Linked DNA regions of Callithrix jacchus. The protein of the gene in region 3 interacts with the protein of the main gene of each other region in a pairwise test. Links are inferred from orthologs where the notes say so. Each region holds a gene or a part of one and is shown on either strand. Other genes may lie near its edges. The genes, in order: YWHAZ, MAPK8, EGFR, PTPN12, CDK1, STAT1 and PDK3.

Region 1 (4,055 bases), on a different chromosome or scaffold from region 3:
ATCCATATTTCACATAAGGTCAAAAGCACTTCCAAAAGCTGCCTTAAAAAACTACCCCCAAAATCTCAACTCAATTCCAATACCACTAAGTGATATAAAATTAAGCAGCTTTTCTTCCTTTTGTAAACGTACTGCTTACAGAACATGTGGATTTCTATCATACTTCCAGAATCGTAAGTCAGTTTAATGTAATTTATGTCTTTTAACTTTCATAATAAGGAGTGATTAAATTTTAGTTTTCCCCTCATTCCAAATCTACTAGATCTCTGTAACATTTGCCAGCCGTAATAGCATAACACTTTAGGGGAGGAATAGCCAAACTGCTTGTTCTCAGATATTTTTACTGTAAAGCCACCACAAAGGACCAACATCTAACCGACCCTAATGCCTCAACTCTTTATCGTGTTGTATGTCCACATGCTTTAAAAATACCCACGAGTCATGGCCCTTCAACTATTACTGTGAGTACTAAAATACATCACATTGGAAGTGCTTAATTTACAAGTGTTTGCAATGTCATGGCTCCAGTTGCAATGTGTAAGTGCCGCATCCTGCTTCTAGCTGTCACCGTCACAATAACTGCATGCTATCACTCAAGCTGTCCTTTGCCGTGACTACCCACCTAACTCCTTCCCTCACATAGTTTCCTAGACCTTTTCAATTTACCTCAGCTACATTTTTCTGGAAGGACATCCTTTTCAAAGTTGCTAAACAGCACAAAGACACTAATCCACACAGTGAGACCGCAGAATAAACGACTTTAGAGGAAAATATACACATAAATGAAGTGTATATTTTAAATTAGAAGGTGAACAGAAGAGCTATTCTGACCCACCCACCTTGGGAGCTGACTCCCGAATATTAATTACCTTTTACCTTCCCAGGGAAATCCCACAATACTTTTTTAACCAAATGAGAGAACATGTCCTCACATTTTAAGCAAGTAATTAGCTAATTTGGATGCAAGGTACTGGCTCACCCATAAAAATTATTTAACCTTTATGACGACATGCTTTTCCTCAGGTCTCTCTATTATTAATTTTTCCCTTAGGAACTGAGACACGCTCTCTGGCTAATTCTGCTTCTAACGAAAAATGATTTCAAACCAGCACAAAGGATTCTCTCCCCCACTACTTGGGTACAAGAGGAAGTGGATAAGGTTTCTCACACAGTAACGATGGCTCCAAGGCCTCGCCTCTACACTGCGGGCAGGACTCACCGCACCCATTTAACCCTTACCTGACTTGAGACATCGGTTAGGGTGAAAAGAAAACGGGCAGACCCGGACTTTAAAGTGCAAATCCTCGGGTCCGCGTATCTGCAACCACCCCCCTCCAGGCTCCGCCCAAGCCCGAGCCTCCGCTCAGGTCCCCGACTCTCCTCCTTTGTCATGGCGGATCTGTGTCAGGGAGCCCAACCTACTGCTGAGTGTTAATTCCCCCCCCCACCGGAGCAAGGGGGAGGAGCAGCCGGCGCCCCCGCCCCCGCTCGAGCCGTGGGGGGAAGCCAAGCCACCCGACCCCGGGGCAGAGACGCCAGAGACGCCCGCAGAAGCGGAACCACTAGCAGCCTCACCGCGGACACACCCCGCCTTCCCACCCAGCGCTCTCCCCGCCACCGATCAGCGCCGGTGCCCGCGTGCACCGTCCCTAAGGGCCCGACAGCTGCAGGTGGGGGAGGGGACGAGAGCCACACCCAGTCGAGCGGGCCACCGGCGGCCGCTCTGCTCAGGATCACTGTGCGTCCCCGAAGCGGCGGAGGGACCCTCCAGTTCTAGTGACTCCGGCGCGAGAGCCTATCGCGGGATCCGCACCCCGCTCTACCCCAACCTGGGCTCACAGCCCCAGTCCGCGCCTTCCCCGACGGTTCATAAGGAGGAAAGAAAATCATCCCCATCCCCATCCCCCGTCCCCACCGAGAAAATTCAAGCCCTTCCCCCCACCGCGGAGCCCAGGAAATTCAGCTCCAGGTCCCAGGCGAGCCCCACCCCACAGCCTCCCCCCGCAGTGGGCTCCCTTCCCGCCGCCGGGCCGGGCCCGGGCTCCTGTCCGCTTCCGCCAGGCCCTTCCCTCCCGCCTGTGTCCCCGAGGCCCCCGGCCCCTCCCCGCCGCGCTACCTCCTCCCGGGGTGGGGGAGGGCCGGGTCCCGCCACCGCAGCGCCCAGCGCGGAGGCTGCGCGAGGGGGAGGGAGAGCGGGGGAGGGAGAGCGGGGGAGGGGAAAGAAGGGGCGGCCGAGGGACAGGGGAGGGGGCGGCCTCACCTGCGCCCCCGCGATGCCCGCCGCCGCCGCCGCCGCCGCCGAGTCATTATCTCGGGCGGAAGCGAGAAGGGCAGCGAGGGCGGGGGTAGAAGCAGAAACAAGGGTGGGGACGAATCGCGGCCGGCGGCGCCCCGGCCATGCCTCGTCCGGCTTCGGGAGCAGGCGACGGGGGATCCCCGGGGATCTCGCGTGTGGGCGCCCTCCCCACCCCCGGGAGCGGGACGGGGGAGCGAGCACCGATCGGGGCCGGGGCGGCGACGCGGAAACCAGGCGCGGGAGGCTGCCGCTAGCCGCCCGCCCGAGCCCAGCGGAAGAGGAGCCGCCGCCCGTGTCTGCCGGGGAGACTCCGCCTCAGCCCCGCGCCGCCACCGTGGGGCGAGCGGGGATGAGGGGACCCGGTGAGGACGGCTCCCACGCGTTCAGAAGGCTGGCCTGGGACAGGAGGAGCGGGGAGCGGCGGCGGACGGGTTCCTCACCTGTGTCCGGAGTGGGTGGAGGCGGCGGACGGACAGGGGCTCAGCAGTCTCTGGGCGGCGGCGGCGGCGGCAGCGGCGGCAGCGGCGGCGAGGCTGAGACTCTGTCCCTGGATCTCGCTGCTCACAGGCTACAGCCGCTCCGCAGACACGGGGTTTCCTCCAATCACCAGCCCCGGCAGCAGGGGCACCACACGCACGATGACGTCAAACGCTGCTATGGCAACCGTTGATTAGTGCCCACAGCGATCTGGGCCTCGCGCAACCGCCGCTCCCCGGCGCGCGTCCTGCCCGCCCGCGCTGGAGGGCGAGCGGAGGAGCGCGCGTCCTCGCCCGCTACGGCCACTCCCCCACCCGGCTCGGCTCCCAGGTCCTCTACGCTTGTCCGGAGTGCACCTAGGCGGGAAGCTTCTGTTTTTCTTTTCCTCCCCAACGCAGATCCCCCCGACTCCTCGCCTTCCCCTTAGGTCCCCGACGTCCTCTCCCCTGCAGCCTCCACCGGCCCACTCTACCTCTGAGCCTGTGGGAAGGCAGCTGTCTCCCTACCCCTACCCCCACGTTAGCTTTCGCTCAGCCGGTCTGCGCTTGCGCCAGTCACTCCTCTCACTCCTCTGGAAGGGGCTCCAGTTCAGCAACATCCGGGACCTTTCACATCCCCCCCACCCCGCCCCCCTCCCCGAGGCCCGGCCCGCCCTGCCCTGCCCTCGGTGCTTCGCGGTGGTCACTGTCCCAGGGCCGTCCCGGGGCAGGATGACGAGTGTGGGTCGGCGGCTCCGGCATTGTGATCAGGACTTGCAGGGTGGGGGCCCTGGGGCGAGGACAGGGCGCGGTCGCAAGGCAAGGGAGGGCTGTGTGTGGTGTGCTCCCCTTGCTCGGCTGGGTCGACCAGGGGGCGCGGCCGCTCCCTGCTTCCCTTACGCCGCCGCGGCTTTACCTGCTGGCTCCGGGGAAGTGGCCCTAGACCTTTTATGGCTCGGAAACGGGAGTGTGGCTGAGTGATGGGGAGGTGTTCCAATCGGGAGCTCGGGATCTGCGCTCGGTGACAGCGAGAGGGGACAATGGGTGGGCACCGAGATGGGGCGAGGTGGGCCGGGCCGGGCGGAGCCGGCGGGAGGTCAGGCCTGGAAGGAGGCGCGGCCGCTTTAGGGAAGCCAGAGTGCGGAGGGGAAAGGATCGCCTTCTCCGGTGGGGGGCTGGAGCTGGTCCTGGCACAGCTGACCCGGAGACGAGCAGTCAGGCGTGACCGCACGGGCCTGTTTCTCGTAGGCTAGGTTTTCCTACCCAAATAAAGCGTTCACGTGAAGAGCTCACACTGCAGTGAT
Region 2 (4,374 bases), on a different chromosome or scaffold from region 3:
CAAATGGCATTTCCCCCAGGATCTAAAGGAATATGAAGGATATAGTTTCCAGGACACTTAAAAGGAGCCCTTTTCATACTTATTAAAGGAATATATTTACTAACAGAATCGATGCTATATTTCTTAAAGCATAATTTGAACTGGAATTCTGAGTGACTGCTAATGGGTATAATGCCTCTTCTTTGGGTGATGTTCTGGAATTAGTGGTGGTGATCAATGCACAACTTTGTGAATATACAAAAGACCAATGAAATATATATACTCTAAAGGGTGAATTTTATGATATGTCAATTAAATTACAATAGAGCTATTTTTAAAAAAACAACAATTTGGAATACAAAATAACATAACTCTGGTTCTCTACATAGCCTTACTGTGAGCTACTGCCAAAGGTTTGTCAGTAACCCCCTACTAGAATATGACATACTTTAGGTAAACCAATGAAAGTTTGGTATCTAAAGGATTTTCATCCCTTATCTTTAAATAGTATCATTTTCTTATTTCTTCATTTCTACTTTACATCAAATAATAAGCTCATTAATTAGTTCACTCATTTCGTATTCTTTCAAATCCAAAACAAATGCTACACTGTATTAAATAGTGAAAAATAACTTTAACTTGGATAAATCCATTATTTTGAGTTTTAGGCTCATATTTTGTGCCAATAGTATTAATACAAGTTAGAACTTAAAATCAAACATTTCAAGTAAACATTCCTAAAATATTAGAAATTAAATATTTCTAATAAAACATTTATGTGGTTTCTTTTGCCCTTACTTTTCCACAAAATAAGTGTCACCAAAAACCTTTCAAACAATATTCACAAAATGATAACTGCAATCATTTTAGACCCCTACTGAGATATCAGTTTATGTGTGCCTGTGTGTAGATTACGTACATACACACACAGACATACATACACTAGTACATACACGCACACACCCCACAACCTGCTTTAGTTTATTAATCATATAAAAAAAACTTAGACAAGATTTTATTTTAGGAAAATTAATGACCTACAAGTGATTCAAAAGCCCATGTCATCGTAAAAGATAATGTACATGAACTGATCATTCAGCCATCTGAAGCAACAGTAGCATGAAGCTTCCAAAACTTTATGGAGACCATTTTTTTAAAGTTTGATTTAAAATATTATCAATTATAAAGAGCTTTTCATCAATCCGACTTTTATTGAACACTTACTATATTCCAGGCTAGGTGGTGGAGAAAGAGATGCAAGACAGGCCTGCCCTCAAGGAAGTCCCATTTTGATTGCTTGCTTTTGTCAGGCACAGCACTAAACATGTTCACTTAGAGCATCTGACCTCCTAGGTTTAACGTTAACCACAGCAGGGGAATCTGAGGTAACCATTACAAATGACTGTAAGGCTGCAAGACTGGAAAAAATAAAGTTTAGAAATAAAAGCTGTTGTATGTTTAGACCAAATCTAAGTCTACTTCCTAATATTACACTTGTACTTCCAGATATACTGCTTAAAAAATGACCCAGAATATAACTATACCTTCCTTAGCAGACATGACTTACATAATTGTCTCATTTAAAGGTCCATCTATTGTACTTCAAAGCATCCTCTTCCATGAAAGGATACTTCTCTTTACCTTCAAATCAAACCTCTTCATCTGGGTACGCTACTAAACAGTTGCTGAATGAATGAATGAATGAAAAAAACAGATTTCTAATTGTCAAGAGGGTACTCGCTGGATGCTTATCTCAAAACACAATGGACTGACGGACCAGAATTCTGCTGGAAAAATCACTGAATTTCAGAGGTAAAAATAGTAATCACTGGACAATGCCATGTAGTCAACATATTATTAAATTCGCAGTAAAGACCAGGCGAGGAACTTTCGGGAATAAAAATGAAGTGTTCATCAGGGTACTTTAAAATGGCCTTGGTTCTACCATCTCTGAATTGGGAACACAAATGTGAGACAAAGAGATGGGAGGGCGGGGTGAAAAAGTCAAAAGGTCACCACCGAGTGACCCCCAAGAGAAATGCGCGCTGACCACTGAAGCTCGGGCCGAGCTGGGTGGACACCTCCCGCCCAAGCCACCGGCCTGAGCTCTGCCTCGCAGCCCAGAGCTGAAGGCCACCCCGGCCCTTTTCAGCGCTGCTGCCTGCGTTCGCCCAGAACGTTAGCACAAAGAAACCACCGAGAAGCAAAATACGGTCCCCATGGGCTCGGGGCAGGCTTGGGGACCCGGCGGCAGGAGCGCTCTCCTCGGCTCCTCGCCGCCCGGGAGGCAGCCAGGGAGCGGCGGGCCGCGGAGATGCCTCCGTCCGACCCTCGCCGAAGTGTTTCAGAACTTGCCACCCACCCCCCGCTCCATTTTCTCCTCCCGACTCGGAGGCAGGACCCGCGCAAGGAGGACGCGAGAGGACAGGCGGGCGGGGCTCACGGTGGCGGGCGGGCGGACAGGCGGCCGGCGGAGCGCGCTCAGGTCCCGCAGCCCCACGCCCCCTCGTCCGGCCCCCGCCTCCGCGCCGCTATTGTTCCCGCACCGCCCCCGCCCGCCGCGCGCTCTCGTCCCCACTCTCGGGAGGGGGTCACGGCTGAGAAGGCTGCGGCGGCGACGGCACAATAACATAAACACGGCGGGGCCGCCGGCCGCCCTGGCCCTGCGGCTCCCGCCGCACTCACCCGGCAGCGCAGCGAAAGGCGACAGGGAAGCCCGCCAGCGGAGACAGGGGCCGTCCGGGCGGTCGCCGCGGCCGCTACCCGGCGCAGCTCGCGGCTCAGCTTTCCGAGCCGCGTCGTCCGGCCTCAGCGGCTCCGCTGACTAACAGGGACGCGGGCCGTCACCGCGCACGCCCGCCTACGTCATCGCGCAGGGCCCTGCCCCCGCGCTTCCCGAGCGGCCTGCGGGGCGGGGCAGCCCCGGGGCCCGGATTGCGGGGGCGGGGCGCCGCCCGAGGGCGGGGCTACTCCAGTGGGCCGAGGGACTTGCGGAGGTGGCCTGGAGGCGGAGCCGCGGGGAGAGCCTCCGAGGGCGGTGGTGAGGGGCATGGCCAGGAGCGGGAGGGGCGGGGCCCTGAGGCGGCACGTGTTGGCGCGTGGCACCAGGGGACCGCGTCTGGCTGGCACCGGTAGCCAGGTCCTTGCTTAAGCCTTCGGGCCTCGCTGGCACAGGGTTGAAGGGCAGGTGCGCTTAGGCCAAATATGCCCGGCGAACAGGCACTCTTCCACTCCATACACATCTGAGCGATGAAAAGCTGTTTACCTTGACCAACAGTAGTTCCATTCCGAGGACACCTGTCCGGGTCCCAGCAACCCACAGAGAGATAAGTGTTCTCTTCACCTGCCCTAGAAAAGCTGCCTCCTGTTTTCCCAAAATCCACGTCCTCCGAGATTCCTTGCAAATCCAACTCTTCCCAGATGCCTTGCATTACCTGGCTTACCTCTGAGGCACCACAAAGCGTGTAAATGTTACAGAAGCGATAAATTGACGAGCCCTTTAAATATCCAACAACGGGTGGAAATTACCTACATCAATTCGGTAGAATACATTTTAGCAATTTAAAGGCCATGTGTTCAAGGAATTCTTAACAACATAGAAAAATGTTCACAATATATCATTAAGAGAAAGAAGCACAAAACAGGTCTTATATATAGAATGATCCCACTTAGATACTATATATACACATAGAAAAAACCTGGAAAGAAATACACCAAATTATGTTAACAGTCGTTCATCATTGGACTATGGAATAAAGGGTGACTTGGTTCTCTTTCACACTTTGGGTATTTTCTCATGTTTTCCGAGAATAATAGTTATGTTCACAATCGGAAACAAGTAAGTTACTTTAATAATAAATATATAAATATTTACATATTTATATATTTTTATAAATATATCTATAATGATTTGTTTTTATAATAAATATAATTTTTATAAATATTATATATATATGTATGTTGGGCTGGCCTGTTTCTGGTGATTCTGAAAAGGAACATACAGGTGATTATTCATTAATTCTCATCCCAGTTTCTCTCTCCCTCCTTTTCAACCTTCTTAATTTCCTGCCATCCTTTATTCCTGCAATAATTATTTATTGCATGCCCATTCAGTGCCAGGCAATACAATAGAGTTTACAGATTTAATCACTGTGCTATCAAAGTAATAGCAGTAAACACATGCAAAATTATCACTGTCTTATAATACAAATTGTCAAGGATACATAATATTATGAAACCAGTTAATACACTAGTTAATAGGGGCAGAAAAGATTTCCCTGAGAAACTGTCACTTGAGCTTGGAATGGGTTTGACTAGGCAGAGAATATTTTAGAAGTAACTTTGTATGCAAAGGTCCTGTGAAGAGATTGAGCAGGATAAACTGGAGAAATTCAG
Region 3 (4,362 bases):
AACCAGAACTCTGACGAGGCAGTGGCGTTTGGAAGTTGAGAGAGGCATCTGGAGTCGGAAGGCCTGCATGTGAATTTCACGCTGCTGCCTAGCAGCCTCGAGAAAGTCACTTTAATCCTTTGTACCTCAGTTTCCCCCATAGGAGGGGAGCGCATGCCTCTTATGCTTAATGTGAGGACTGAAAGGATGCATGAAACAGTGTGTGGCAGTCTTTTGCTCTAAGAGCAGCAAGCCCAGAAGTTAGCATGTCCCGGAACCAAAGTGCACCTTGAACAAAACCGACTGAACTTGATAGACACAGGCCTTCAACAAACTTCTGCTGAAAGAGCTCATCTCCTATTTTAATAATTGCCCCTGAACATTCAGTCTTTTATGTCACCGTAATGGAATAGCGTCTGTTCACCTACTCTCTGTCGTCTTCAGGAGCATTCTGTTTTGGGTGAATATGGGACCAACAGGCAAATTAAGTGGTATTTATATTTTTCTTAGGAACAAATCTCCAGCCACTAATACAGGTGTTCAAGCTAGTAACATCAAAGAACAAGAACACCGCTGGAGGGAGGAAAGTGATGCTTTGGAGGTGCTCTGCATGTTTAATTTAAAATAAAGAGAAGAGTCTCTGCTCTTCCGCAGAGACAGGGCTGGCACCTGACTCACAGGGTCGCGTAGGCTCAGCAGAGGAGGAATCTTTCCAAGAGTTCCTTCAGTGAGAAGAGAAATCCTTTATTATTGGAATCACACCCTACCTTTCCCCTCTTTCCTATATTTGGCAAGATTGTTAAAACTCCAGATGTCCTCAAAGAGCTCTTTGCATTGGCAAGTAATCTCTCCGGAGACTTTAACAATCCTTCTTCCGTGCAGTGATCCCCAAACCTGGCTGCCCAACAGATCACATGAAAAGCATTTTTAAAAATACCATATCCAGGTCTTGCCCCATGTCAATTAAATCAGAATGTCTGGGGGTGGGAGCCAGACACTGGTTTCTGTTTTGGTTTTAAAAAATCCCAGGTAATTCTAAACTGCAGCAAGGTCTGGGAACCACTGTTCTATGCCTTGTCCCTCCCCCAACAACGGCGCTGGGCACCAAACCCCAACGCCTCATGCCAGTGACATCAACAGCAAGTACGGGCCTGGCTCCTGGAACCCGCGCAGCTCAAGGCTGGAATTGTGCAATTAAACCTGAGGCATGTTTCCCATGTCAGATGGGTTTATGAGGGTAGTCACGAAGCCAGACTCGCTCATGTTCTGTCTGGAGACTTGGCACACGTGAACCAGGGACATCAATCTGGTGTGTGTGTGTGTGTGTGTGTGTATGACAGGTTTAATATTTTGGTTGGCCCAATGTCAAATTCTTCAAACGGCAAAGAGAAACATCCAAGAAAGAAACTCCCCGGGTTTTGAGAAGGAAAGTTTGCTGTGAGCCCCGTTTTGAAACACCGTGGTGTGGCCAGGACCGGCTCTGCTCCTTGAGCTTCCGCGCAAGAGTCCCGCGGTCCCCCTCTGGAGTGGCCGGACAGCCGCGTCCCGTTCCACCGCGAAGCCCAGGCTCGACCGAAGGGTTGCAGGCGTGGAAAACCCGCGACATGGCCACCGAACCAGAGCCCGGGGCTTTCGGGGGGGGGCGCCCCGGAGGGAGGTCGGGTCCTCAGCGGGACACACCTGGACCGGCCGAACTAGAGCGCGCCGGGCGGGGCGAGCCGCCGGCCGGGGTCTGCGCCCAAGGGGCGGGTCGGACCCCACCTGCCTTTTGCCAAGGAGGAAACTAACCGCCGCCAGCACCACCCCTTCCCGGGAGCCGCAGGTGGTGGCAGACGAGTTCTCCCAGCTCCCAGGTGAAGGCTGCTACTCCACACCCGGGAACGAGGCTCGCGGGGACCCGGAGAGGCGCCGGGGCCAGGCTGACCCACGCCGGCTTCAGCGTGAGACTCGCGCGGAGGGCGGAGGCGGGAGGTCAGCTCAGGAAGCCGCCTGTCCCGCGGGGTCCGAGGGGAGGCTGCATTCTCGGGGTCCTTCCTCAGCTTCCCTAAACCGCGCGGCCCTGCGGGTGGGCAGCGCTGGCCCCTCGGGTGCGCGTTCCGACCCCGCCGTGCCCTGGGAGGACAACGCGGGGCGCCATGCGGGACCCCGGCTCCCGGCGCCCACCGGGCCGCGGACGCCGATCCCGCGCAGAGAGGCGGGAAAGTAAGGGAGAAAAGTTGGGAGCGGTCGGGACCGCAGGAGGTGCCAGCTGCCGTTCTCCGCCCCGCCCGCAGCCCGGTGCCCTCCCCGTCTCCTCCTCCGCCCGCCGCGGACTCTCCCGGCCAGGGACGAAACGTCCCGTTCCTCCCGCGGTCCCGGCCGGCAGCGCAGCTGATCTCAAGGAAACAGGAACGGACGGGCGGGGGCGCGGGCACCGAGCCGGTGCGCCGGTGCGCGGCTGGGCTAGCTGCGGGGTCCGGGGCGCGCTCCGGGGGCGGCTCGGGAGCCGGCGAGACACGCCCTTACCTTTCTTTTCCTCCAGAGCCAGACTCGCTGGGCAGAGCGCAGCCAGCAGAGCCAGGAGCGCGGCCCCTGCCGTCCCTGAGGGTCGCATCGCTGCTCCCCGAAGAGCTCGCTCCGACGCTCCTGGATCAGTCCTGGACGGAGTCAGGCGGCCGTGCGCGGTGGCTGTGGCGGCGGCGAGGCGGGGACTCGGGCGGACGCCGCCGAGGTGGGTTGTCGTCCCGGCTGGGCGGCGGCGGCCCCCGGGACTCGCTCGGGACTCCAGCCGCCTTGGTCGCGGAGGGCTCTCACACCGTGCGGGGGGCGGAGGCTGCTGCGGCCGCGCGGCGCGGGGGCTGCCCGGACGTCTAGCTCGCGCGGGCCGGGACGTGGGGAAGGCTGGGCGGGAGGAGGAGGGACCAGGCGGCGGAGGAGGGATCGGGAGGAGCGGAGGAGGAGGAGAATGCGAGGAGGAGGGACGAGAACCAGCAGCAGGGACCCAAAGCCAGCGGCCGCCGGAGGCGGTGGACAGCGGTGACCCCCGCGGGACCCGGGCTCCGGCAGGAAAGGGGCGGCGCGTGGGAGGGGAGCGGGTGCCCTGAGGAGTTAATTTCCGAGAGGGGCGTTCCCAGCACTGCTCCTCTGGACTCAGTCTCCATGGACTTGCAGGCCCAGCTTATGCTGAGATGGAGCCAAATCTGTGCCAGGGTCCCCTTCCCCCTTTCCCTTCTTTTGTTTTACAAAGCAAACTTGTACCAGCTTTGGACAGATTGGCCAAGCCCTAGAGCCAGCGTCGGATAATGGCACCGACGGGGAAACTGCTCTTTTATTCTGGTCCCCACCTCCCCTGCAGCACCCTGGGACCCTCCCAGGGCTCAGAGGCTGGCCTGGCAGCTGAGGCGGTTGCCGTGCCTGTGCAGCAGGAGTGCCAGGCGTCCGAGGTGCTGATCCAAAGTCCGAGGGTCCTTCAGATCCCGTCAAGCACCCTCGAAATTGAATGAAATGAGGGTACCCAACTCCGAGCTCAGATACAGGCCTCCTCAATGTTTATTGTAACCGACCCTGGGTAATTTGAGCCAATGTGTGAGGCACAGTACTTCGCAAAAGGGAAGCTCTTGGAATAAACGCTTGACACAAACAGCCGTGGAGATACTTTTAGAGAGGCTAAGTGTCCCACTGCCCTGGTAGCTCCCACAGGAGAAATGCCAGGGAAATTCGCAGAGGCTTTGGCCGGAAGAAACTGAGCTGCTTTGGGCTGCAGGAACTTGAGCTACATTCCTTCTGCAAGTGCACCCTATCCCCACTGTTCCTTCTCCTACAGGAAAAATGCCCTCTAGGTCCATGTTACAGACCCCTCCTCTCCACAAGGTTCACTAGGACTTTCCGGCCTGATTCAACAACCTTGATCTCCCGGCTCTGTCAAGAACCACACTCCTGAAGTAAGTGGAGCCCTTTGCTGCCCTTTGCTGTCCCTGGAGGGGAGCAACCTTGCTTCTTTCCTTCCCATCCAGCAAATTGTCTGTGCCAGAGTTTCACACCCTGCAGCCTAAACGGTGGGGTTTTCAGCAGGGCAAGCGCAAACTCCTCACCGCCGACTCCTCACTGCCAGCTCCTCACCGCTGCTGCAACCTGGAACTTCCCCTGTGAATCAGGAGAAGTAATTTGTTCCTTTGTTTTAACCAATCAGGACAGCCACTGCAGGTTGAAGTCAGCCCCTGGATGCAGAGGCTGTGACGGCTCTGCAGGCACGTGTGTGCTTCCTCCACATATGCACACCTGGGCTGAGAGCAGTCCATAAAGAAACAAAGAAAAAACAAAACCAGGGAATGGCAAACGGGAAGCACAACAGCGGAACACAAAATGAAGACAGGAGTGAGTTTGACAATAAAAGACATGAGTACA
Region 4 (4,333 bases), about 50 Mb from region 3:
ATCCCTGACTCATCCACAAAGCATGAACCCTAAGGCTACTTCCCCAGTATAGGAGTTCAGAGGCTGGGCACCTGTCCTGATGGCCTGCATCACCAAACAATGCTCCTTCCTGATAGGATATGCCTAGGGATAACAAGATAACTAGCATGCAAACAAGAAATGACCAGGGACCACATCATCTCTTCTTCCATAACCAAAATAAGATGGTAAAATACTAGTTTTAGGCCAGGTGTGGTAGCTCATGCCTGTAATCCAAGTACTTTGGATGGCCAAGGCAGGTGGATCACTTGAGATCAGGAGTTTGAGACCAGCCTGGCCATTATGGCTAAACACCATCTCTACTAAAATACAAAAATTAGCGAGGCATGGTGACTTGCCACCTGTAATCACAGCTACCTGGGAGGCTGAGGCAGGAGAATGCTTGAACCTGGGTGGCGGAGGTTTCAGTGAGCTGAGATTGTACCACCGCACACCAGCCTGAGTCGCAGAGCGCAGAATGAGACCCCCCTCTCAAAAAAAAACAAACCAACGTTTTAGAAAGTGGTAAAAAAGGGGATGCCATCCAATTACCATAAATGACACCATTCAAAAGATATCAACGCAATGAAAAACTCTCAACAGTAAAAAGGGAAAATGCCCTCTTAACCCTTTCAGATCAAAAAGTAATTTTTCAAAAGTACGGTAAATATCAACAGCAAATGTTTAAATATAAGGAATATTTTTATTTTTAATAAGGAATAAGTTAGATTATTTAACTTTTATTTTCAATCTTCAAAAGATACTGAGAGAACTTTACTTCCATCCTCTATTATTGGTCTGGGGATGCAGGAATCACAAAGCTCAACGATACTACTACTATAATATAGTGTTAAGGTCAAGGACCTATTTTATAAGCTGTTAAAAATTTAACGCTAAAGCTTTACTAGACCGAAATCTCTTTAAAACGTGAAAAAGTATTTCACTACTAAGTCATATCACCTGTACCATAAAAACTACTGCACTTTTAAATAAAAACTAGCCAATGTTTGCTGCCCATTCATTTTAAAGATATTAACTGTGTATCCTTTTCATAATCCAATTTCAGAGTTAAGTCATTATTCTTGGAGGTTTATCTTATCCAGAATAAAAATTTTCCCTAGCTGTTTTCCTATTCCCAATCCCCACCAAGGCTAAGGAGCAACCACTTCCCAAAGTCCCACTTCCTTTTCCATTCCCCAGACCTACAGGGTTTCCAACGCCCCAGTCTTGCGCAATATCCGTAGGAGCAGCAGCCGCAACCACCGCCTCCTAAGCCGGGAAACAACCCTAGAGGGAACAGTGTCCAGCAGAAAATAAAAGAGGCGGGGGTGGGGGGTCGATAATGTAGGAAGTCGACTTCTGGTCCCACGCCTTCGGATCTGACCCCCTCATAGTGAGCTGGAGCAACAGCGTTATCTAGACCAATTTCACGAATAAGACTTTTAACCTTCACCTCCTCTCAAGCCTGCTTGCACAAGCAGAGGGCGGAAAGTGGGGGGCGGCGGAGCGAGGGGGGGCACCGGGAAGGTTATCTCCCAGTTCAGGGCTTCGGCCCTTAGCGTTGCCTCCGCCCCACCAGGACTATTGTTCCCAAGTTCCCCACCCCCACCCCGGATAGGAAGTGATAGTCACATCCCCTCCGCCTTCGGCAACATCCCCTGGGGAGTCCGAAATCAGCTTCCTTCAGGATAATCCCCCCCACCCACACTTACTCCCTGAACCTAGAGTCACTCGGACCCCCAAGACCACTTCAAACCTGGGTCTCAGGAGAGAAGACGCGGGTAAATGCAAATTAGGTAAACCCATGAGATTCCTTATGGACAATCCTTTCCCAAGCGTTGGAGATCATGACTGCACCGCCAGAAACAGAAGTCCTACTTCGCCCGCTTTGAGACCAGCTGGAGCAAAGGGACCCCAGGAATTAGTGCTAACCTCAATCCCCCCGTCCCCTGTCCCTCTGTCAGTCGCGATCTGCACTCCTCCGGGTCACAGCCAGATCCTGCCTCGACCCTCCAGGGAGGAGCGGACTGGGCGGGGAGGTGTGGAAACGCGAGCCCCCTCCGTCCCGCCGGCCTGCACCTCACTAGCCTCCGGCTCCCGACCGGGTAAACAATAGGTGGTCGCGAGCCGCGGTGCAGGCTGCGGGCTCGGCCGCGCGGCCGCTCCCTTCGCGTCCCGGGCGCCCGCGCGTGGGTCGCGAACACGGGAGAAGAAAGGAGGCCGAGGGAAGGAGAAGGTCTCGCCTCCCGCCGGCTTCCGAGTCCACCCGTACCGCCGGGTTGGTGCGCGCCCCCTCCGCCGCTCTCCTCACAGAGGTACACAAAGCACTGGCGGCCGGGCCGGGAGAGACAGTGATGGGCTCCGGCGCCGGCGAGACAGGGCGACAGCGAGGGGAGAGACTCACCATGAAGTCCCGGGCGAAGTTGTCCTCCCCATTGTGGTCGGGACTCTTCATGGCCTGGACCCTCTGGATGAATTTCCTCAGGATCTCCACTTGCTCCATCCTCCCGCGTCCCCCCGGTTGCGGTCGCTGGCCCCCCCGCCGCCCGCCCGCCCGGCGCAGAGCCCGCTCCGTCTTCCCCAGCTCGCTCCCCCAGCACGTCCCTCCCTCCCGACCCCCGCCAAGCCCCGCGGCTCCCTCCTCCTTCCCACCGCCCCAGGCGGCGGCTGCGGCGGCACCGGGGATCGCGACACCACAACTTCCAGAAGCAGCCGCCACTCTCCCACAGTACGAGACAAGCCGCTGCGGCTAGCGCCAACCCCAACCCCCAGCTTGCTCCATCCTCCTTCCCCGCCCTCCTCCTCCGTCGTAGACGACGCCGCCGCCGCCGCCGCCGCCGCCACCTCAGGAACAGAGCTCTCCGCTCGCCCTGCCCCCCCTTCCCGGTTCTTCCTCCCCCCCCACCCCCCCGCCAGCAGCCGCAGCCGCAGCCGCCTCTCCCAACGGGCGCGTCCCCGCCGCCACCCAGATGCGCGGGCTCGCGCTGCGGCTCCGCCCCAAGCGCTGCGCCCGCCGATCCACCCCCGCCCGCCTCCAGGTCACGCCCCCAACCCCGCCCCGCGGGTCCCAGCCCGTCTTGGAGTGGCTGGAAGGCGCTTCTGCGGGCGGCCTGGAGACCTGACTCCATTTCCGGGGCGTGGCCCCGTTCGGGGTGCTCAGAAGTCGGAGTAGCATTGGGAGGTGAGATGGTTGCCCAGTGAAGGGAATGCGACTCTGAGCCGGGCAAGTCCTAGTCGGTGAGAGTAGAATTCTGCTGGAATTTGCGGTCTCACCGCCTACTAAGGAGGAAAAGCAATTTTCAAGAGTCCCACGCCGCCGCCAGCCGTAGGCTCGGACTACAAGTCGCGGCCTGTGGAGTCCAGGAGCCGGGACAGGCGGGGACGGGCCGGGGGCGGGCGGGAGGCAGGCCGGGAACTGTAGTAGTGTCACCGCCACGTTCGCAGCAGGTAGGTGCTCATTTTGCTAACATTGCTGAGAGTGGACAGCAGTTAGGCTTTGGCACCTTGAACGTGGCTCCAGCGAAGGGAAGCGAAACGCTTCCTGGGTAACAGACTTTTATTCTTTGCGCATTCTCTAAAACCTGGCGACTGAGCGCCTGAGGTTCGGAGTGCCTTCTTCACAGACGATGCGGTAGTGGGAACTCTTGTGTTTGCCGAACTGAAGGGAATTTGTCTTCCTGTCTTTAGGTTCACAGCAGTTCAGAAATGAATGGGAAACTTTTCCCCCGTAGAACAGACTTTGTAAATCTATTAAATCTTTATAAATCTTTTTCTTTTTTCTTCTTTTTTTTAATGGAGCCAGCCAAGGTCTTGCTCTGTCGCCCAGGCTGAAGTGCAGTGCTATGATCACGGCTCCCTGCATCCTTGAACACCTGGACTCAAGGGATCCTCCTGCCTCAGTACGTCACCAAGCCCAACTAATACATTTTTTTAATTTATATTTTTATTTTTGGTAGAGAAGGGGGTCTCACTAGGTTGCCCAGAATGATGTCGAACTCCTGTGCTCAAGGGATCTTCACCCCTCGACTTCTGAAATTGTTGAGATTATAGGCGTGAGCCACTGCGCCTGGCCTATAAGTCTTTATTCATCCTTGTAAACTTCTGTCAGAGAATGTATTCTGGTCTAACTCATCATTTTACAAATAAAATGGCTTTCTGACATCCCCCAGCATATTCTTAGCAGAGCCGTAACTAGAACACAAGTTATTTTACTTTAACAACAGTGACCTTTCACAGTGTGACAGAACTGAAAGAACTTGACCTGTGAACTGACTTAGGTCATTTATACCCACAAACTTTTTTTTACAGAGCACAG
Region 5 (4,173 bases), on a different chromosome or scaffold from region 3:
TGCTGTAAATTAAGCAAACATGCTATAATAAAAACAAAATGAAGGAAAAAAAAAAGGTCTCCTTTTATGCCAAACTGCAATCAACACTAATTCTCTGAAAATTTAAGAAACATACTACAAGGCATTAGACATACTTATCACATATTTGTAATTCAGCAGCAAAATTCATTTAGAATGGGTATGAATTAGGTATTTAAGTGATTAAAAAATATATACACACACACACACATCCAATCTACCACTACACTAACTTGTCATTCCTATTTCACTAAATTCCCTCCAGTATAGCCCCATTGTTTTTTATTATTTCTTCCCAAGTGGAGTCTTTGATCACATTAAAAATATAGTTGGGAATTTTCTTCAGCCAGAACCTATACAAACTGGACTCTATTAGCAAATTATTTTGTTCCCGGAGAATTGAGAATGTCAAAACTCCTGGAAAGAAACTGGGATGTTCTGTTGCGGGACTCAAGGGGACAGGTTAAGGGATATGATTTGTGCCATATATAGAGCTAAACATTCCTTCAAGTATCACAGAAAGGGAATGATTATATACATAAGTTATAGTTTTAGAATAGATTAAACACCTACATATGACAGGTCATTTATACTTAAGGTAACTAAATATCAAAATTAACTTAAGTCAAGACTGACTTAATAGAAGATTAAGTCAATTATTGTAACCAGTCTAGAAAATCTGAATAAAAACATTTATCATCTTAAAAATAACTGAGACTAAAAATATATTATGAAATTAGCATAATGCTGCTGCCCTAACCTCTGTCCCTAAATACATGTACAAGTTATCAACAGTGTCTTCAAAACAAGAGTAATGCTGTAAGTGTTGGGTATCAGCAGAATGTAAGACTATGGGGGTGAGGGGAAGGATCATTAGGGACTCAATAATTTTGATTCTCTTGAAATATGAACAAATTTGTGTTTAAGTTACTATGTAAACAACATATATTAATATACATTGATATTACAAGACATCTTAGTCGTTAAATTTTAACAAATATTTACATGTGTTCATATTACAGAAGTTGGTGGTAGCATTGTTAAATCATTCTAAAAAATGTTATATTACTAAAGCCACTCACCTTCTCCAATTTTCTCTATTTTAGTATAATCTTCCATAGTTAGTCAATAGGTATGGTAGATCCTAAAATGAAGGGAAAAACTGACTTAATTACATGCCACTAACTCGAGTAGTTTTAAGTATTGAGATACTATATATAAAGCATTTTCCACAATGCATACTGCAGTATAGTAAATATTCCATAAATATTAATTACATTCAAATATTTACAAGGGTAAGAACTCCTACAATAACTTTCCATCCTTCTTGACTCCTGAGACATTGGAAACATTTGTATATTCCATCCTAGTATAGTATTTAGCGTCTTCCAATCAAAATAACCCTCAAATTCAGAAATCAATTTGTCTGTTCTTTCCAAACAAAAACCAGAATGTTCCCTTTATTTGACAATTTAAAGTAGTACCAGCATGTACCAAAGTTATACCGAAATTTTTTTTGTTTATACCGAAATATTTCAACAAATTTATACCGCTTTATGATATTCCTAACATTATGCAAAACACGGTTTTTTAAAGATATAGAACTAAAATGTGTTCAGACTGTTCATTAGGAAGATTGTGTTTAAAGCGGCAAAAACGTGTAAGTGTTTACAGTTGCCCACGTGACAATTTTAATCTTTTTCCTTTGCTTGTAGAGGTCACAGAAAAACATGCTCAAGGCTTTCAAGATACTTTTTGCACGAGTAGGAAATACCACTTAAGCACGCTAAAACAAAAGAATGAAAAGTGCAATTCTACAGATAAATTATAATTATAGCCTACGCAATTTCAAGGACCAAGCAGAAACGCTGTATACTTGAATCACAATGAATGGTTAAAAAAAAAAGAGCTGACAATCAGAAGTTCAAGACTTCCTCTTAAGTTTGCCAATGAAACGTCAGAAGTCCAGGCATAATTACTTCGATTTTTCTAACACGCATCCCTGACGATAAAATCATTTATAAATACCACTCTGAATAGATTTTTAAGTTCTATTTCTCATTCATCTTCAAAGAAAAATCAATCCAGAAGGAAGCCGAGGTATATTTCTAAATGAAAACAACAACAACAACAAAAACTGCACTACACTGCTCTTGAGTGTTGAGTGCCTGGGCTGAGTGTTCTTAAAAACTCCAGGTGGGCCGGGGCCGTGGGCAGAGCCAGCTCGAGAAGGCCCACGAGTCCCGGGAGCTGTTTCTCAGGGCGGCCTGGCTTTAGGAACCTGCGCCCGTACCTGGCCCAGGTGCGGTGCCGCTTGCTCACCCCCGAGGCAGGATGGGAGGGCGCGCAGGGGGCGGGTGCAGGAAGGAGCCGGCCACTTCGCAGGCGCTCACCATAGGGGAGCGGATTGTGCTTCAACCTTGACCCGAAAGCCTCCCCAGTAAGTTTCTGAGAGAAGCCGACCTCGAGCCCTGACTGCAGGCAGCCCCAACCGCCACCCCCACAACCCCGGCTGGGCTCCGTCAGCCTCACTCTAAAGCCGGCCCGGTGTGGCTCACATGCCCAGGCCCCGGCCCAGGAGAAGGCCCTGCCTGCCCTCCAGAGACCCAGCCTGGCTCTGCGCAGATCCCTGCTCCCCAAGCCCGGCCTCCTATGAGGACTCCGTTCCTCAATACCCAGCCTCTGAGGCCCCTGGGCTCAGCCTCTAGGAGCGACCCCGACACCAGCCACTCTACCCGGCTTATTATCCCACGGCGGCAGCAGAGGCAACTACCACAGCCACGTCGCTTTCCGCTCAACTTCCAAGAGCCAGCTTTGAAGCGAAGTGCGAGCAGTTTCAAACTCGCCGCGCTAAAGGGTCCCAGATCCACCAATCAGGTAGCCCGTAGACTTTCAAAGCAGCCAATCAGAGCCCAGCTACGCTTGGGCAGGCCTCGTGGGTGGGTAGAGCGCGAAAGAGAGAGGAAAGGGCGGCTGGAGAAAAAGCAGGAGGGCGGGCGCTCTCCAGCCCTGAGAGTGTCGTCCTACTGTTTCTAGTCAGCGGAGCGGGAAGCTACTACTTGCTCCGTTCTTTTTTTTAGTTTTTTTCTCCCAGCATTGCCACAGTTCAAATTTATTACACTCAAAATAGCTCATCACTCAAAGCAAAAAAGGGATATTGTGTTTACATCCAGATTCCATTACTTTAACATCTAATACTTAGGGTAAGCAGTGTATAGTTACGTTTTTCTAAATGCGTGATTTGCGGGCTGGCTCCAAAGAGCACATTTCAGCCACCTTAAGAAGAAAATGGAAAACTCAACAGACCGCCTCAAAAATGTAAAAGAATATTTATTATTTATATCGTTGTGCTTTGTTTCTACTTCGTTTGAATTTTAATTTATTATTTACATTTTTGTTTAAAACATTTGAAATGTTTTAAATTTTAAAATATTTTCACATCAGAATTTTAAATATATAGAGAGACATATATTTAGAGACTGGGTCTCATCACGTTGCTTATTCTGGCCCCCAACTCCTGGACTCAAGCAATTGGCCTCAGCCTCCGGAGTAGCTGCGAGTACAGGCACTCGGCACAACGTCCGGTTTCACGCCCGGCTTAAATATTATGAAAACACAAAAATTCACAATTGTATGAGGGAAGAAAAACAGACTTAAATTATGCTTTAAATAATACAGTGTCAAAAACGCTGTCTTCAATGCCCTCCACAATATCCTTAAGAGCGATTTCTGCACTTACTGCACTTCAATATCTTTTTCCCTCCCTCTTTTCCTTCCTTCCTTCCTTCCCTTCCTTTCTCCCTCCCTCCCTCTCTCTTTTTTCTTTTCTTTCTTTCTCTCTCTCTTTCTCTCTGTTTCTCCCTTTCTTTCTTCTGCTTGTTTGCAGAGACAGAGTCTCCTCATGTTACCCTAGCTGGCCTCCAATCCTAGGCTCCATGGATCCTCCTGCCTTGGCCTCTGAATGTGCTGGGATTACAAGTGTAATCACCAGCTCAACCTAAACACCATTCTGACGTCTTTTTAAAATAAGTAAATAAAACAGAGCTAGACGTAATGAAAGTCTCCATTTTAAGGATTTTTAGTTGCATTGACCCTAATAGGACATAGAACAAAGACTGATTGCCACACCCACTACAAATATGTATTAGAAGACCC
Region 6 (4,264 bases), on a different chromosome or scaffold from region 3:
TCATTTTTTAAATCAACAAACTTTTCTACAACAAATAATCCCATTGATGAAATTCACCTTCCAGTAAACACGTTTCCAAGTCACTTAATCAACAAGGTTTAGTTCCTTACCAGTCTTGCTTTTCTAACCACTGTGCCAAGTATTGTCGGATTTCCATGGGAAAGCTGTCATCATAAAGCTGGTGAACCTGCTCCAGGAATTTTGAGTCAAGCTGCTGAAGTTCATACCACTGAGACATACTACAGAGAAAAAGAATATACATTCTTTGTATGTATATGGAAGACCCTAGCTTCAAAGAAAACCTTCCTAGCATCAGGTTGTACTCTTAAATATCTTGCTCAATCCAAAACATAGTTTGTTCTAGGAATATTTTATTTAAATCGCATTTATAGTCTAAAGCCTGTTTTTAATTGAGTTTGGGAATCAACCTTTTTTCTCCTCCATGAAACACATCTTCAGGCCTTTGCTTGTTGTACAAATAACAGTACATTTCTAATTTAAGTATTTTTAAACTATTTTATATTTATGATATATTTTATATCAGGGCAGCCTTCTCTGGCCTCCTTATTTAAATGGCAACACCTACCCTGTAAACATGCTGTCTCCCTTCCCTGGTGTATTTTTATTTTTCGGCATAGTACTTACACCACCATCTGACCTACCACATTTTAAATTTTGATTATGGTCTATTTTCACCACCTGAAGGATGGATGTTGGAGAATTTTGTGCACTGGTGTATCCCCAGAACAATGTTAAGCACGTAGTAAGTATCAAATAAATACACCTTTAAAATGAATTTGCTATTCTATCAAATAAATACATGAAAAACATTATTTTAATTAGATTTGCTTTAAATTATAAGACTCTCCCAAAATTGCTCTCCTACAAATAACAGTACATTTCTAATTTAAGTATTTTTAAACTATTTTATATTTATGATGCATATGGTAAAATTCATTATTTTTGTTACACACATTTAAAAAGATGTATTTTCTTCTTTGCCCACTACAAACAATAAATCTGGCATAAAGTAGTAATGATTTTTAAATATTAAAACAACATCATTAAATGTATTTAAAAGGATAAAGTAACACATCTCTTTGAGTAACTGTTAAGTCAATTTTTATATAGTGATCAAATTTTTTTATATAGTGATCAAATCACATTTTTATATTGTGATTAAAAATCACAATAAAAACTTGATATAAGGAAGTCCTAAAATTCATTAGGAAAATGAAGAGTCTCCACGACCATCATGTAACAGGATTTATGTCAATATGCTGGCAATATGCAGAGTAGACACAAGTGAATCTTGTCCTGCCAGACCTCTGGGGACGGGGGTCTGGATTTTCAAGTAGGGCATGGAAGAGTGTGTGCTACTTCACCCCCACCCCACCCCAACTTCATCCGTCAACAAAGCAACCCAGTCACCGAATTATTTACTGTTTTTCAAGTGTACCCAACATTTCTGCTTTTCTCCAGCTGCCACTTGCCCTTGCAAACATCCTCTCTACAAATTGTTGCATCTCTAAATCCTACAGCAGTCAAAGCTATGTACAAAAGCCCCTTCTTTCATAAAGTTGACTTACTCACAATTAAGCTTTCTTTGACTTGTGCCTCACTGAATCTGTACCTCTATTAGAGCATTGGTTCCAGTTTTTCTTGCAAAGTTCTGTGATGCCTCCAGAGCCTGTGGCGGGGAAGGTGGGTGGAGTGGGGGTGAAGTAGCAGGGGTATTTTCCTTTTAACCTCTTCTGGACCTTGGACAGTGCCCTGAATATACTAGATGCTCAAAACAGTTTGTTGAATTGAAATCTTGTATATTTCAGACGGAATTAGAAAGTAAAAAGCAAATCATATTTTGATGTCACAAGTGTGAGTCCAGCATCCTCATTAAGCAACAGTTGCACAATGAATTGTGCTGGAGGCTCAAGTCCTATTTCTGTTCTATAAAAACAACTCCCTATCTGTACAAACAACATTCAAAGCACAATCGACCACACATCTGCATGCCTACCCCAGAACTCTTCAGTGCTGGTCAGAATTTTCTTTAGGAGTAATTATATTATCTGGGGTGGGTGTGGGGTCTGCAAAAACTAAACATCACTTTTGAACTACAGGAAGACATTAAGCTCCTCCATCTTTAAACACAGATACATAATTAAGATACCGAAGTCATATACTCATTCATTGGATCCCATGAACATTTACTGACCTGCCACCTTGTGCCCCAACAAGGGTCTGGGGATTCAACCAAAGGATCAGCTACATATAGCACGTTAGGTGCCAAGACTGTTGAGGTTGCATGCACAGAGTGCGAGCGTTAACCTAGACAGCTCTCGAGGATGGCATACAGCAAATGATACTTCCTGCGAAAAGAAGAAAATGTGACTGATGGAAAGGGGCGGAAACGGGAGAAAGTGAGCGTAAACGGGAAGGTGCAGTGACTTCTAGAGGAAAATTCTATTTCACAAGTCCTCTTTACTGCCAGAGCACGACTAGCAAGGGCAATCGTGCTGAGCAGTGCCATCTCCGAAAACAGATGGCACTGCTCGCACTTGAAATACTGGGAAGCGTTCTTTCTCCGGGATCACGGATTCGCCGATCAGCACTGACAGCCCATCCTCGCCCGGCGGCCAAAGGCACGGCCCGCGGACTCGGTCCCGGGGCGTCCTACCCCTGCACCCGGAACCCGGAACCTCACGGCCACTCACTTTGCGCGCAGGATCCGGAAGGGCTAGGCGGGGACGCGGCGATGCAGCCTCTCCGGCCGCGCCGTGTCGCCTCTGCTGGGTCTGGGGAAAGGCCAGGCGCGGTCCCCCGGTACAGCCAAGCCCCTCCGCAGACTCTGCGCTGGAAAGCGAAACGACGCTGCAAAAGTCAGCGCCCGCACCCGGCCCCCTTCCGCCCGCACCAATCACCACGCGGTTCTGCGATCAGCCAATTGGACGCGGCTGTTCCGCGGGCGCTGCCGCCTCCCTCTGCAGGCCGCTGCTCCTCCCGCGCTCCTGGTGTTTCCTCTGGCTTTGGGCCGGGCCGTTGCGTGGGCGCGCTGCAACCCAGTCCCGCGTTGCCACGCTGGGGACTGTAGTTGTGTTTACATATCTTAGAGAACGACTAAAAGGACGCGCTATGTTTGCAGAAGCCCAAACTTGGAGGTCTCTGTATTGAGTTTTACCACCGAGAATTCAGGCAGAGGACAGATTTGGCGACCTCGTCATTCTAGAAGCTCCCTTTAGCAACTGACCTCCATGTTGCTAATCCCAGGGGACACTTTTCCGTTGTCTTCACTTTACTTGACTGCTCCTAAGCATTGGGCACAGTTGACGCCTTTTTTCTTGAAACACGTGTCTTCCTTGGTCATGATGACAGCATGATAGTCCTTGCTTCTTCCTGCCTCTGGCATTCTTTCTACCTCCACCTCCACTAACAAACTAATGTTGAGTTGTCACGGTCCAGACCTTGGTCAGCTTTATGTAGGCTTCTCCTCAACACTGTTGTGAAGACCTCACCCACAACTTCAATTTCCTTCTAGATGGAGGGCTCCTACATGCTTATCTTGTCTACACCTCTCCTCTGAGCTTCACACCTACACCCCCCACTTGCCTCGCCACTTCTATGTGCAGTGAGCTCTACAGACTATGTTCAGAACCAAGCTCACCTTTCTCTTTAAACATGCTCTTCTAGAAATGGCACATGTCAGAGAGCTAGGATTCATGGTTGACATTGCCTTCTCCCTCACCTTGCCACACCTGATCCTCAACCTTGTTGATTCTTCTTCCTAATTCCCAAGTCTCATTTACTCTGCTCCATCCCTTTGGCCGCCTCCCTTTTCTCTCATTCCCATTACTGCAGTAGATTCCCAAATGGCTGCCTCACTTCAGCCCTTAGCTCCCTTTTAATCCATTCTCCATACAGCCGTTTGGTTTTTTGTTTTTTGTTTTTTGTTTTTTTTTTAATTGAAAAGCAGATCATGTTATTTGCCAACCTGAAAATCCTACCATGGCTTTTCTTGGATCTTATAAAATTTAGTTTCTTAATACATATTATAAAGCCCTGGTTTCCTGATCTCTTTCTCTAACCCCATAATGTACAACTCTGTTTTGCTTACTTCAGCATTTAGTTCTTCAAATAAACCAAACTCCCCAAATTCAGGGTCTTCTCACCAGTGGCTCTCTATTTGGAAAACCCCTGAGACAACATCTGCTTTACCCAACTTCTTTGCTGGCTAACTCATCTCTGAGATCTTAGTTTAAAATCTCAG
Region 7 (3,575 bases), on a different chromosome or scaffold from region 3:
GGCAGTTTGATTGACAAAGAGATCGTATTATTTTAGAACTCAATGAGAGCAACAGTCGAACTCTATCAAGATAAAAAAGAGGCCTACCCTGCTGTTAAAACCCTTGTTACTTTGGGTAAAGAAGACTTATCCATTAAGGTAACTGTCTTATGTGCATGTATACTTTAATTATCAGTTGTGATTTAATAGTATCTAGACATTGAAAACTCAGAGGGAAGAAAATTGACATTTATTGAGTGTCCTATTTGTAAGTTCTATGCTAGATCCTTGGCTTGAGGTACCTTATTTGAACTTCATTAGAACCTTGTTATTCAGGGAGTTGAGCAAGACCTCAACACCACGCCTGTCAGATCCTACAATACCATTCAGTCTCCTTTGTTTTACACTGTTTACAGAGGAACCATATGTCACTAGGGGATTCAAAGCCCTTGTACATTTTGGAGTAATCTTCGATGTACTTTATTTAATGAACCCATTACCTCCTACTAAGTATAGATCAACTTATTTGTTTTGACTGTTAACATTTTGTGCACTGCAGATCAGTGACCTAGGTGGTGGTGTCCCACTTCGAAAAATAGATCGTCTTTTTAACTACATGTATTCGACTGCTCCTAGACCCAGCCTGGAGCCTACCAGAGCTGCCCCTTTGGTAAGCGTCTGAAACTGCTACTGAAGGAAAGATCATAAACATGGGAAGGGGCTCAGAGGGAGCTGCCTCTCTCCCCAGATTGTCGCATTAGTGTGGTTGACTTAGAATGTTGCCTGTATTACGGTTTGGAGGAGGGAGAATGTTTTGCCTTGGCTACTTTCTTTGTGAATCCTTTGGACTTGGATTTCCTCTCTGATCTGTGTCCAAGAAACATTCCAAGCTGAGTGCCTCACTCCCAGACACAGAGAAAAAGTACCTCATTGTGGTAAGACTGCTACTGGAGCACCATTTTTCACTTTGTGCTACCCTTGGAAGGGGTGGAAGTTGCCAATGGGTGAGCAAAAGGACAGTACCGAATGCATAGCTGCTGCTTGGTCCTGTGTACTCTGGCATGCACACCACAGAGGCACGAATCACTTAGTGCCTGGGAATCTCCACTGTCAAATTTGTTTATATAATTAAAATGTTACATTATGAAAACATTAAATTTTTATATTAAATAACATTAGCATGAAACATACAGGTGGTGTATGCATTTTCAGAGCCCTTTCTGTCTCACTCTGGAAATAACCTTCAGCCCTATTAAGGCAGTGAGAAAAGCCTCTGGTTGCCATGGTAGCATTTAGATCCTGGTAGGGCCACACTTTCTTCCCCTGCTGAGTGTTTCTAATTGACAAACAACAATTGAACCCTTTGTCATTAAACACAGCAACATATCTATCAGTCTGCAAAATGGTTCAGGGTATATATTAAGTTTCATTTTAAAGTCCTACCTGACTGATAAGCATATAAGATTATATTTTATTTGTAAGAATAAAATCAAAGACTTTGCATCATTTATTTGAGACAGAGTTTGTTAACTCAGCATGTTGGAAACAGGAAATCATTTATATAGGAGTCGAGAAAATTCATGAAAGATCACATTTGAGAGGCATTGTCTTGACTAGGCTCTGGTATACACTGAAATACACATCAAAAGGAAAAAAGGCACTACAAACAAATCTAGAATCTTCCCTAGTTGTTTAAGAGAAATATAGATTGTCTTGTCCAGGTCTTAAAATAGAATCTTGAGGATAGCTATTATGTAATAGGTTTTTTTTTTCTGAATAAACCTGAGGACTTGTAAGAGACCTTTAAAAATTATGAATGCTTATTCCCATTGTATAGGTGAGGAAATGACCTTCCCCAAGGTCACTGAGCTGATTAACCACAGAGCTGTTACTGGCCATGTCTGTGTTCTTTCCAGTGTACTAGGTGGCCTCTCCTTTTGAGAAATGCTTCCGCTACTGGCTCTCCCAGTTAAGAAACTGGCCTGTAATCCTAGTACTTTGGGAGGCCAAGGCGGGCTGATCACTTGAGGTTAGGAGTTTGAGACCAACCTGACCAACATGGTAAAACCCTATCTGTACTAAAAATACACAAAAAAAATTGGGAGCAGTGGCACATGCCTGTAGTCCCAGCTGCTCAGAAGGCTGAGGCACGTGAATAGCTTGAACCCAGGAGGTAGAGGTTGCAGTAAGCCAAGATCACACCACTGCACTGCAGCCTGGGTGACAGAGTGAGATTCTGTCTCAAAAAAAAAAAAAAAAAGAAAAGAAAAAGAAACTGTTCTCAGCTTTAAAGTGGGCACATGAGTATGTACTACTAAAAAACATAATTTCTTCATTGAGCAACTTACGCTTTTACACCTCTGTGCCTTGAAACGTGCATTTCTTTTTCGAGAATATCCACCCAGAGAACTCCTGTTGATCCTCTGACACTCTAGGAAACTTTTCAGGAACCTCAGCAAATTCGAGGTTGAGGTCCAGACCTCTCCTCTGCATTCCTTGGGAGTCTGGGCTTACACTCACAACTACATTGGCCTCGGAGTTGTTGGCTGTTCTGTGCTGGGCATGAGGGCAGGCTTTGGGCCTTGCATGAGCACAGGAGGCAGATTTTCTCATGTCTCTTCCTAGAGTGAGCTGGTTTCTTTGCTGTGGTTACCTGAGTCACTACTATAGATATCTCATCTTCACTATTGGGCATATTCAGCTAGTCCTAAAGCCCTTAAAGGATAGGGTACTTTCTTTCACCCCCTGCCCTTTCAGTTAGACCCTACCTTGAGGGAAGGTATCACGGACAGATGTTAGAAAATGGCAGAAATCAATGTAACTTCATAAAATTGCTGCCCTTACTATCCATAGTACCAGCTTCCATTTATTTAGTTTTACTGTTCCAAGATTTTTTTTTTTTTTTTTTGCCAATCAGTTTGAGCTTATAAGTTTGCTCAGGTTAGCCTTGAACTCATGACCTCGCCTTTGCAAGCGCCACGACCTCCGGCGGGAGCCACTTTGGACCCACTGTGCCAAGATTTTATACTTGTTATATCATTTAATCCTTATAGCAGCTCTGAGGTCAGCTTTGTATTATATGTTCAGATGAAAAAAATGGCCTCAAAGAGGTTGAGTACGCTGCTCAGAGTGACACAGAAAGTGGATTTCAACTTGGGTCTCTCTGAGCCTAAGGCAACTCTGCACATGATTTCCCTGCTTTCCTTCCTTAACCTTGTTCATAAATTTAACCAGAAGTGAGGAAGCTTGGTGTTACAGCACCTCCTTCCCCACCCTGCCCCACTACCACCACAAACAGTATTACATTTGCTTTCAATTCTTACTGTTCTTGTCCATACCTGAGACCTTTTTTTTCCCAACCTAGAACACCTGTTATTGACAATCAGGGTTCCATGATGAAGAGATATAGGATAGTACTGAAAATTTTTTTAATCCCTAAAAATATCTGAACTACAGGCCAGGTGCAGTGGCTCACATCTGTAATCCCAGTACTTTGGGAGGCCAAGGCGGGCAGATCACCTGAGGTCAGGAGTTCAAGACCAGCCTGACCAACATGGAGAAACCCTGTCTCTACTAAAAATACAAAATTAGCTGGG

What was found.
Region 1: the proteins of EGFR (region 3) and YWHAZ interact in binary tests that used the Homo sapiens proteins (3 or more experiments, as listed by UniProt). The link is inferred for Callithrix jacchus from reciprocal best matches to the Homo sapiens genes EGFR and YWHAZ.
Region 2: the proteins of EGFR (region 3) and MAPK8 interact in a protein complementation assay, tested with the Homo sapiens proteins (3 studies listed by BioGRID and IntAct, with this or other methods). The link is inferred for Callithrix jacchus from reciprocal best matches to the Homo sapiens genes EGFR and MAPK8.
Region 4: the proteins of EGFR (region 3) and PTPN12 interact in binary tests that used the Homo sapiens proteins (3 or more experiments, as listed by UniProt). The link is inferred for Callithrix jacchus from reciprocal best matches to the Homo sapiens genes EGFR and PTPN12.
Region 5: the proteins of EGFR (region 3) and CDK1 interact in binary tests that used the Homo sapiens proteins (3 or more experiments, as listed by UniProt). The link is inferred for Callithrix jacchus from reciprocal best matches to the Homo sapiens genes EGFR and CDK1.
Region 6: the proteins of EGFR (region 3) and STAT1 interact in binary tests that used the Homo sapiens proteins (3 or more experiments, as listed by UniProt). The link is inferred for Callithrix jacchus from reciprocal best matches to the Homo sapiens genes EGFR and STAT1.
Region 7: the proteins of EGFR (region 3) and PDK3 interact in a protein complementation assay, tested with the Homo sapiens proteins (2 studies listed by BioGRID and IntAct). The link is inferred for Callithrix jacchus from reciprocal best matches to the Homo sapiens genes EGFR and PDK3.

The regions. Positions count from the first base shown.
Region 1 is NC_133517.1:96,015,937-96,019,991, reverse strand, and holds the start of YWHAZ (14-3-3 protein zeta/delta), read right to left. Parts: upstream 2,869-4,055; 5' UTR 2,737-2,868; intron 1,391-2,736; exon of another isoform or gene 1,240-1,390; intron 1-1,239.
Region 2 is NC_133513.1:40,582,621-40,586,994, forward strand, and holds the start of MAPK8 (mitogen-activated protein kinase 8), read right to left. Parts: upstream 2,817-4,374; 5' UTR 2,665-2,816; intron 1,398-2,664; exon of another isoform or gene 1,204-1,397; intron 1-1,203. UniProt on the Homo sapiens protein: Serine/threonine-protein kinase involved in various processes such as cell proliferation, differentiation, migration, transformation and programmed cell death.
Region 3 is NC_133512.1:22,474,937-22,479,298, reverse strand, and holds the start of EGFR (epidermal growth factor receptor), read right to left. Parts: upstream 2,831-4,362; 5' UTR 2,573-2,830; coding exon 2,485-2,572; intron 1-2,484. UniProt on the Homo sapiens protein: Receptor tyrosine kinase binding ligands of the EGF family and activating several signaling cascades to convert extracellular cues into appropriate cellular responses.
Region 4 is NC_133512.1:72,591,853-72,596,185, forward strand, and holds the start of PTPN12 (tyrosine-protein phosphatase non-receptor type 12), read right to left. Parts: upstream 2,872-4,333; 5' UTR 2,522-2,871; coding exon 2,423-2,521; intron 1-2,422. UniProt on the Homo sapiens protein: Dephosphorylates a range of proteins, and thereby regulates cellular signaling cascades. Dephosphorylates cellular tyrosine kinases, such as ERBB2 and PTK2B/PYK2, and thereby regulates signaling via ERBB2 and PTK2B/PYK2.
Region 5 is NC_133513.1:69,676,591-69,680,763, forward strand, and holds the start of CDK1 (cyclin-dependent kinase 1), read right to left. Parts: upstream 2,847-4,173; 5' UTR 2,694-2,846; intron 2,331-2,693; exon of another isoform or gene 2,312-2,330; intron 1,163-2,311; 5' UTR 1,138-1,162; coding exon 1,101-1,137; intron 1-1,100. UniProt on the Homo sapiens protein: Plays a key role in the control of the eukaryotic cell cycle by modulating the centrosome cycle as well as mitotic onset; promotes G2-M transition via association with multiple interphase cyclins.
Region 6 is NC_133507.1:37,793,388-37,797,651, reverse strand, and holds the start of STAT1 (signal transducer and activator of transcription 1-alpha/beta), read right to left. Parts: upstream 2,853-4,264; 5' UTR 2,715-2,852; intron 2,370-2,714; 5' UTR 2,216-2,369; intron 240-2,215; 5' UTR 239-239; coding exon 111-238; intron 1-110. UniProt on the Homo sapiens protein: Signal transducer and transcription activator that mediates cellular responses to interferons (IFNs), cytokine KITLG/SCF and other cytokines and other growth factors.
Region 7 is NC_133524.1:25,264,522-25,268,096, forward strand, and holds part of PDK3 (pyruvate dehydrogenase kinase, isozyme 3), read left to right. Parts: intron 1-36; coding exon 37-138; intron 139-538; coding exon 539-649; intron 650-3,575. UniProt on the Homo sapiens protein: Inhibits pyruvate dehydrogenase activity by phosphorylation of the E1 subunit PDHA1, and thereby regulates glucose metabolism and aerobic respiration. Can also phosphorylate PDHA2.